Linked DNA regions of Macaca fascicularis. The protein of the gene in region 2 purifies or fractionates together with the protein of the main gene of each other region. This does not show direct contact. Links are inferred from orthologs where the notes say so. Each region holds a gene or a part of one and is shown on either strand. Other genes may lie near its edges.

Region 1 (3,804 bases), on a different chromosome or scaffold from region 2:
CCACCCTAAGGTCCAGCTTGGTGGCCCAAATGCCTGCCCCCCAGGCCCTGTGCCCTGCAGCCAACAGCTCACAGCCATGGGGCTGTCCTTTGCAGACTCGGCACCCACATGCCCAGCCTGGGCCTCTGAGGCCTCCCCTGCTGGCCTGCAGCCATGCCAAGTGCTTCATCTGGTAGGTCTAGGCATTCTCAAGGGACAGCTGTTGCCAGGGTCGTCAGCCAGATCCCAGAAACTAAGCCCCCGCCTCCCTCTCCCCCAAATGAAACCAGAGCTCCCAAGGGGCTGCTTGTGGCTCACTCTTTAATAAATGCCCTGAAACATGGAGCTCACACTTCAGTGGGAAGGGGGAAGCCAGTGGGTGAACAGGAGGCTGCACCCCACGACTGACAGCAAGTCACTCTCACTGCAAACACAGGCAGTGCCGAAACCCAGCACACACATGCAGAACTCTGCCCTGCTGGCTCTTGAGCCCTGAGCTGGCCCTACCCCATGCTCCTGGAGGGCTCTGAGGAGGAACAGAGGTGGGGAAACATGGACAATGGGCACAGCCTTCCACAAGCCTCCAGCATGGGATACCTGGTGGCTCAGCCCTGTGTGCTCCTCCATGCACAGAAACCCACATGCCACCTGATCCAATGCCCCAGACCCCTCTAAACCACGCACAACCCCACCCTGAGACATGCTGGAAACAAGCACAGTGAAACAACTCCCAAAGCCGGAGCCCCAGCCTGCAGACCCTGGACACCGCCCAGCTTCCAGGCACAGGGACCAACCCCCCATGAGGCTCATGCTGGGCAGAGTGGGGTGCAAGGCACAGAAGCTGCCAGTGCTGGCCAGAGACACTGTCCCATCCTCCCAGACAACCCTGTGTGGAGCCACAATTGGGGCCCGGCGCCACCTGGAGCTCAGCACTCACACAGTGGGCTCCTCTGGGGTCACAGGAAGCCCAGTGAGAAAACAACCCACGTGCCTGGGGCCCTTGAGCATGGGCGGGGCCAGGCAGGGCACCTACAAGGAGGACTTTCCCAGATGGGAACCAGGGCTCCCACCCAGTAGGCACAGCAGACAGATGGAATGGGAAGACCCCCGACAGAGGACAGAGGCCCCAGGCCCCAGCCTCCCCATCAGCCTGCACCAGCCAAGGCTTCGGGCTACTTGGAAACTGTAGGCCACCAGTCTGGCACAGATGCGGCTAAGGCCACCTGAGCACCCTCAGAGGCTCTGATGTGCAGAGGACCCTTGATCTTCTCTGACCACAGCAGGGCCAGCCCCACGTTGCCCTGGCCGGCCCTGAACTTGCCCACAGTCTGTCCTGACGCAGTCAGCACCGTGGCACCGGGGGTGATGCCACTGGCAGGAAGGGGGTCCAAGAACCTGACAGGGAAGAGGCGCTTGCGGATGACGCCCATGTGGTGGGTGCGGGCTGTCAGCTCCTGGCCGATGTAGCAGCCTTTGGTGAAGCTCACGCCGTTCATGAAGGCCAGGTTGGACTCCAGCGGCAAGGCCACCCCAGGAGGCAAGTCTCTGACCCCCTCAGGAACGCCTGCAGGGATCGGAGGAGGGAAACCAGCAAGAACTGAACATCGTCTAGCCCTACCCATGCAATCCAGTCCTGCGCGCCCACCCTGCCCATACCTTGCAGGTATCGGTGCTGGTGATAATCCCACAGGTCCCCGAGCCGGCCCCCCGACACCAGGGCTGGGCCTTCGTCCTGGGTGAGGAGCCGCCACCCCATGCGTGCTGTTCGCGGGTCGCGGATGAGGATGGCAGCAGCCCCTGCACTCTCCTGCAACGGTGCATTCCCGTAGGCCTCAGGGGAACTGGGCAACACTGCCCACACTCGCAGCTCCGGGTGCGGCTCCACCGTGACCTTCCGCCGGATCCTGTATAGCGCGAGGTGCTTCTGCAGTGCGCCCTGCACGGAGCTGTCACACTCCAGGAGAAAGCCAGACACCTCCTCCGAGTGTTCCTGGAGCCTGCAGGGAGAGAGGCAGGGGTGCATGCCAGCTCACCAAGTGCGTGGGCCAGAAAGGGCTGCATGACGGAGCTAGCCTTACCCAGGCAGAGGAGTACACCGTGGACCAACGTAAGGAGCCCTGCCCTCAGCCACAAGGGACTGCACCTTCAAGGCAAGCGCCTGGGTCACCACAAGCAGGGAGCCACGCCACAGCGAGCCACGCCCATAGCCATAGCCACAGCTAGATGTGAGCACCATGGAGAACAGCGCAGAGTGCCATGCCCACAGCAATGCCAGGATACGTGCAGACAACGCACATCAGGCCAGGCAGGGCACACCTGGACCAGCACATGGAGAGCCCTGCCCACAGCCACGCGGAGCTGCGCCTCCAGAGCTCTCCTCTAAGCAGGCAGAGACAAGCTCACAGGGGCTAGCGCAGACAGACCCTGTTTGCCCAGGGACTGGCAGAACTACAATAGCCTGCCCAAGGGCATCGTCTGGAGTAGTCCCAAAGCCTAGGGAAGAAATGACAACAGTCCACTGGATGCGGGAGCAGGGACGGGCAGGGCCCCACAGAGGAACGGTATGCACAGCCACTGAGAACCAGACCTGCCTGTTCCAGCCCAGGGAAGCCATCGAGGAGCCCGAGGGTCCTAAGGTGGGCAGGAGGGAGGAGCAAGGAGCCCAGGAGGAGGTCAGGGAGGTACAATATGCCTGAGGACCACTCTACCTATGTCCACCACCTGCCTCCCCAAGTCAAGTCTCAGAACCCAACCCCAGAGCCATTCTGACCTGCACTCCAGGCAGCCCTCCTCAGAGGATTTGGGCAGGCACCACACGAATGACCCCTGACCAGATGGATGGTGGGGAGAGGGGAGGCCCGGGCAGTGTGGGGCATGTCAGGTGGGGGGCACTAAGTGGAGATACCTCGGGTGCAGCCACCTCCATGGCTAGGGTTGATTGCAGGTGTGGACTGCACAAGGCTTCACAGACCGGTGAGAGCTGAGACAGGGAGGTAATAAGACCCCCAGAGGGCCTGCCAGAGAGGAGCCCACAAGCTGGTGGCCCAGCCCCTTCCAGCCAGAAGAGGGCTCAGTCCTTGCCAGCCACCCAGAGCTTCAGGTGCCAAGTGGGGGCCTGCTGCCCTCATCTCTGCAGTCTCACTCTACCCTGTGATCATGCCCACATGCCAGCAGCCACAGAGAATGTTCACCCAGAACCAGTGGGCACAGGTCTCACTGAGGACCCTGATGCAGGGAGGGTGGGCATAGCCAGCTGTGACAGCCAGTGGAGCTGGCCCGCCCTCCAAGACAGTGGTCACAGGACATCAAAAACAACACTGGCAAGGGAGGGGAACATACGTCATTTACACATGTGGGGCTAAGATGATGGGAGGAACAGCAAGGACAGCACAGAGGGGCAGCCGCAGGTGTAGTGCAAAAAGGTCACCACGCCACCAGGGAAACACAGGCAATGTGTCCCAGACAGACGCAGTGGCAAACCCAAACGCTGGCCAGCACGAGGAGAAACCAGGTCACTGGCATGCTGCTGGTGTGGAGGCAAAACGGGCGTCCCTCTGGAAGACAGGGTGCAAGTCCTCACAATATCAAACAAGCAACTACCCCGTGACCTGGCTCTCTCACTTCCGGGCATGGATCACTGAGAAATGAACACTGCAGTTCACACAAAACCTGCTAAAGCGAAAGCTCACAGCAGCCAGCTCTACTAGTAATGGCCAAAAGGGGAGAATCAAGGTGCCACCACACGACAGGGGACTTCTCAGCAAGTACAGGGAGCCGGAGATGGACAGAAGTGGGTGGATCTGAGGGCACTATGGTGAGGGAAAA
Region 2 (3,805 bases):
ACCCTAGAGTTGCCAAGGTCAGCAAATAAAAATATAGGATGCCTAATTTTGAATTTCAAATAGTAATTTTTAGTATATGCAATATTTGAGACATAGGCACTCTAAAAAATTAATTATCTGAAATCCAAATTTAACTGGGCATCCTACATTTCATCTGGCAATCCAATCTAAAAAAAGGTTCCTAAGAATCTATTACCTATAACGATAAAGAGATCACTTCCTGCTGTGCATGAGACCAGAGCCATTTTACAACAGAAGGCAGGTGAAGCAACATATCCTAAAAAAGATTCAGTCATTAAATTGTCACAGAATCTTAAAATGTCTCTATGAGTAGGGAGGCTATTTTTGAAACAATTCAGTATCAGTGAGGGTTTGGTCCAAGTTTTCTGGGCAATGGGCTCTTGGTTTTATGACTCCTAGCAGATCCACGAGTATGAGAGTAAAATGTATCTGTCCCATCAAATAGGAAGTGGCGAATGGGCTGCATAGACAATAAAGAAAAATAGCACATACTGGCAGGGTAAAATGAAAAAGAGAACATTTCATTTACTTTTCTCATCCTCTAATAACGGTGTCCAAGCTACCCAACCTGTGATCCTGATCCACAACACAATAAGAACTTTCTTTAAAATGAAGCTTTTATACATAGCTATCCACATATATACAAGCAGCTCTTAAGGCCAGATAATTTAATTCCAAATTTTAGAGCCATGGAAGCTCTACAGATTATACGGAGTTTCAACCAGTGATTAAATCTGAGGTAACAGCATCTGGAGGCTCAGCCTTAGCACTGAGGGGAGTTGGAGGGAAAAATTAAGCCAAAATCTTCACGTTCTGAAAATAATAGTGGCAAAACACAACACTCCTGGACTGTGGGAAATAAAATTGAGAGGGACATGATTAGAAGGAAACCTCTAGAATTCTACTAATTCCAGGTTCTTCAAATTGGTACAACTGGTGACAATCTCAGAGTCACCAGTCATCGCATCAAAGTTTGATAGAGAAGGAAGACCCACAGGAGCAGCCTTGCTGTGCTTGAGGATTGTTCAACACTTGAAATGAGCTTCGGATCAGTTCTTGGCTGAAGTCCACCTGGGCCCCTTTCACGAAGGCCAAGCTATCAGAGTCAACCACCACTCTTGCCCCACCCTGTTCAAATACCCTGAAAAGACAGGAGGAAAGCATTAACGAGTATCACAAACACAAAAAAGACACCCCCTGGGCCCAGAGGTGCACACCGTCTGTTTTCTAAAGTACAGAGGGAGCTTCCCGATTACCTTTAACACGTGCTGATTTTCTTTTAGGCAAAAATGATTCAATGGAATAAATACTGCGAAAAGTGTAGGGACTTAAGCCTGGAATCTAATCCGGCCTGACTTTCTACCGACTACCCAATGGACCTGGGCAGGCCAATTTTGCTCCTATAACTTAGTTATTTTGATTCAGGACAACAAACCTTCACCGCATCCTCACTGTGAGACGGGCGGTGTTAACCATCCCAAGTAAACCCTTTAAATTTGGAATAAAAGTGCACCTTAAACTATACACACTTTTATCCCTCCTGTACCTCCTTTGGGAACCCATCCCTTCCTCCTTGCCTGTCGTCGGGGTTGATAACTGTATCCAGTGAAAATTTGTATTGGAATCCGGAGCATCCACCTCCTTCCACCTGCAGCCTGAGGAACTCTGACCCCTCGGTGATTTCCAGAAGCCTCTGAAATGCAGGAAGGGGATCAGGAATAGCGGGCAACGGGAGTTAAAGGGCTGAGTGAAGAGCAGTTCCCGCTGCTCCCGCCAATCGCCTGGGTACCGCCGCCCCGCGACCGGCCTTCTACCTGGACGCAGCTGTCCGTGAGGCGGATCTGCCCTTCGCCGGCCTCGGGGCTGGAGGACGACGCTTCCCGACGCGCCTGGAGTCCCAGGGAGGCCGCGAGGAGCCTGCGCGCAAGGGAGGGTAAGCCCGGGGGCAGAAGGGGCACCTGACAACCCTTGACCTGGAGCGCCTCACGCTAAACCTGGTGACCCCCACCTGGACGGCCTTCCACCAAACCCTCACCTCCCCCACAGGCCTTGGTTTCCCATTTGTCCTAGAGGCGCAGAACCAAACACCCTTTCCAGGTGCCTTTCTAGTCTTGATACCTGCCCCTCGGCCAGGGAGTGACCGCTCTCTGCGTCGCGGCCGTTAGGGACAACCCCCGGGCGGCAGCCATCTTCCTCCACAAGCTCCGCCCCGCGCGTCTCCCCCGTTTCTCACCCGGAGCCTCGGGAGGCGGGGAGAACGAACAGGAGGCCGGGCCCTCACGGAGGCCCCGCCCCCAACATACCTATTGGGTAGTGAGGGAGGAGAAGGTGCCTGATTGGCTAGAAATGCTCCCGACGGCAGCCGCGGGGACGCACCCATGAAGCCGGGGAGGTGCTCTAAAGGGAAGGAACGGGGCGAGGAGGAGTGAGGTGGGGCGAGGAGGAGTGAGGTGGGGCGGGGCGGAGGTGGGTCTGGGCGGGTCAGGCCTCTGAGGGGACGGCATGGGCGGAGACTGCAGGCTTCTGGGCCCGAGAGGGCTGGAGTTGGCTCCCGGGGCCGGGGGCGGGGCGCGGGCGGGCCTCGGCCGTGGTTACTGGTGACAGGTCGCCTGACTGGGCTCCTCCCCGGGCCCGCCCCCACAGGTTTGTCTTGTGACCGCGGGCGGCCGCCGCTTCTTTCCAGAGATTGGAACTTCGTTATCCGCGATGCGTTTCCTGGCCGCTACATTCCTGCTCCTGGCGCTCAGCACCGCCGCCCAGGCCGAACCCGTGCAGTTCAAGGACTGCGGTGAGCCCCAGGCCCGCCCAAGGTTCCCGCGCCCTCTGCGGAAGCCCCCGCCGGATCCCCGCGCTGAGACCCCCGGGGCTGGGCTGGGCGGATCCCTCGGGCGGCCAGGCTGAGCCTTGGACCCTAACTGGAGTGGTCTGGGTCGGGGAGAAGGCGCCGGCCTCCAGGAAACCCGATCGCACACAACTTTGTCTTTTTCTTAGAACGCATGTTTTGGGGTTCCTGGGAACTCCAGGAGGTGGGCCTTTTACTGAAGTTTCCTAAAGTTTGTAGGGCTGACAATAGAAGGGCTGTATCTAGCGCTGGTGGAGGGGTGGAGCACAGAACTTCTTTTTTTTTTATGCTTTGTATCTTGGAATCCCGCCCTCCCCCTTCCAGCTCCCTTTGCTTTTCTTTTAATTTCCTTTTTGCTGACAAGTCAAAAGTCAATTCCCCTTTTTCATCATTTATTGTTACAAATAGGACTTCCTTTGGGCTTTGGTATCTTGTGATTCTTAATCAGTTTTTTCTTGTATAAATCTCACTGTGTCTCTAACCACAGCTTGTGACACATAACTCCCTCTCGCCGCTGTGGTTGCAATCTTTGTTGGAAAATACAACAGGTGGTGGAAATTCTGAGTGCCTTCATTGAGTCGAGTCTATAGAATTGTCGGAACAGAACTCGAGCAAATTTGTTCAGAGGTGGAGGTAGAGGGCTACAACTGTCAATGAAAGAGGCATGAAACTGATTTTGTAAGATCTGTGAGTGGAAAGGAAGCACGGAGATCGTATAATCAATCATTGAATTCCAGGGATGTTGGGTAGCCTACCTAAAGTCACGCAGCAGAATGGGGAACTAGAGTTAAGTGTAACCGCCCAATGGGTTCACCTTGCCCACTGCCTAGACAGAGCGGATTTATCAAGATGGGATTTGCAATGGCGAAAAGAGTATTTCACGCAGAGCTGGCTGTGCGGGAGACCGGGGTTTTATTGTTACTCAAATCAGTCTCCCAGCAT

What was found.
Region 1: the proteins of ISCA2 (region 2) and IBA57 purify together in Homo sapiens (co-immunoprecipitation; 4 studies listed by BioGRID and IntAct, with this or other methods). This does not show direct contact. The link is inferred for Macaca fascicularis from reciprocal best matches to the Homo sapiens genes ISCA2 and IBA57.

Annotation. Positions count from the first base shown.
Region 1 is NC_088375.1:86,082,073-86,085,876, reverse strand, and holds the end of IBA57 (putative transferase CAF17, mitochondrial), read right to left. Parts: intron 1,977-3,804; coding exon 1,636-1,976; intron 1,544-1,635; coding exon 1,152-1,543; 3' UTR 284-1,151; downstream 1-283. UniProt on the Homo sapiens protein: Mitochondrial protein involved in the maturation of mitochondrial [4Fe-4S]-proteins in the late stage of the iron-sulfur cluster assembly pathway. Operates in cooperation with ISCA2 in the maturation of [4Fe-4S] proteins.
Region 2 is NC_088381.1:142,441,179-142,444,983, reverse strand, and holds ISCA2 (iron-sulfur cluster assembly 2 homolog, mitochondrial), read right to left. Parts: upstream 2,221-3,805; 5' UTR 2,211-2,220; coding exon 2,140-2,210; intron 1,939-2,139; coding exon 1,836-1,938; intron 1,715-1,835; coding exon 1,599-1,714; intron 1,163-1,598; coding exon 988-1,162; 3' UTR 522-987; downstream 1-521. Other genes in the region: NPC2 (NPC intracellular cholesterol transporter 2), read left to right, coding at 2,728-2,809. UniProt on the Homo sapiens protein: Involved in the maturation of mitochondrial 4Fe-4S proteins functioning late in the iron-sulfur cluster assembly pathway. May be involved in the binding of an intermediate of Fe/S cluster assembly.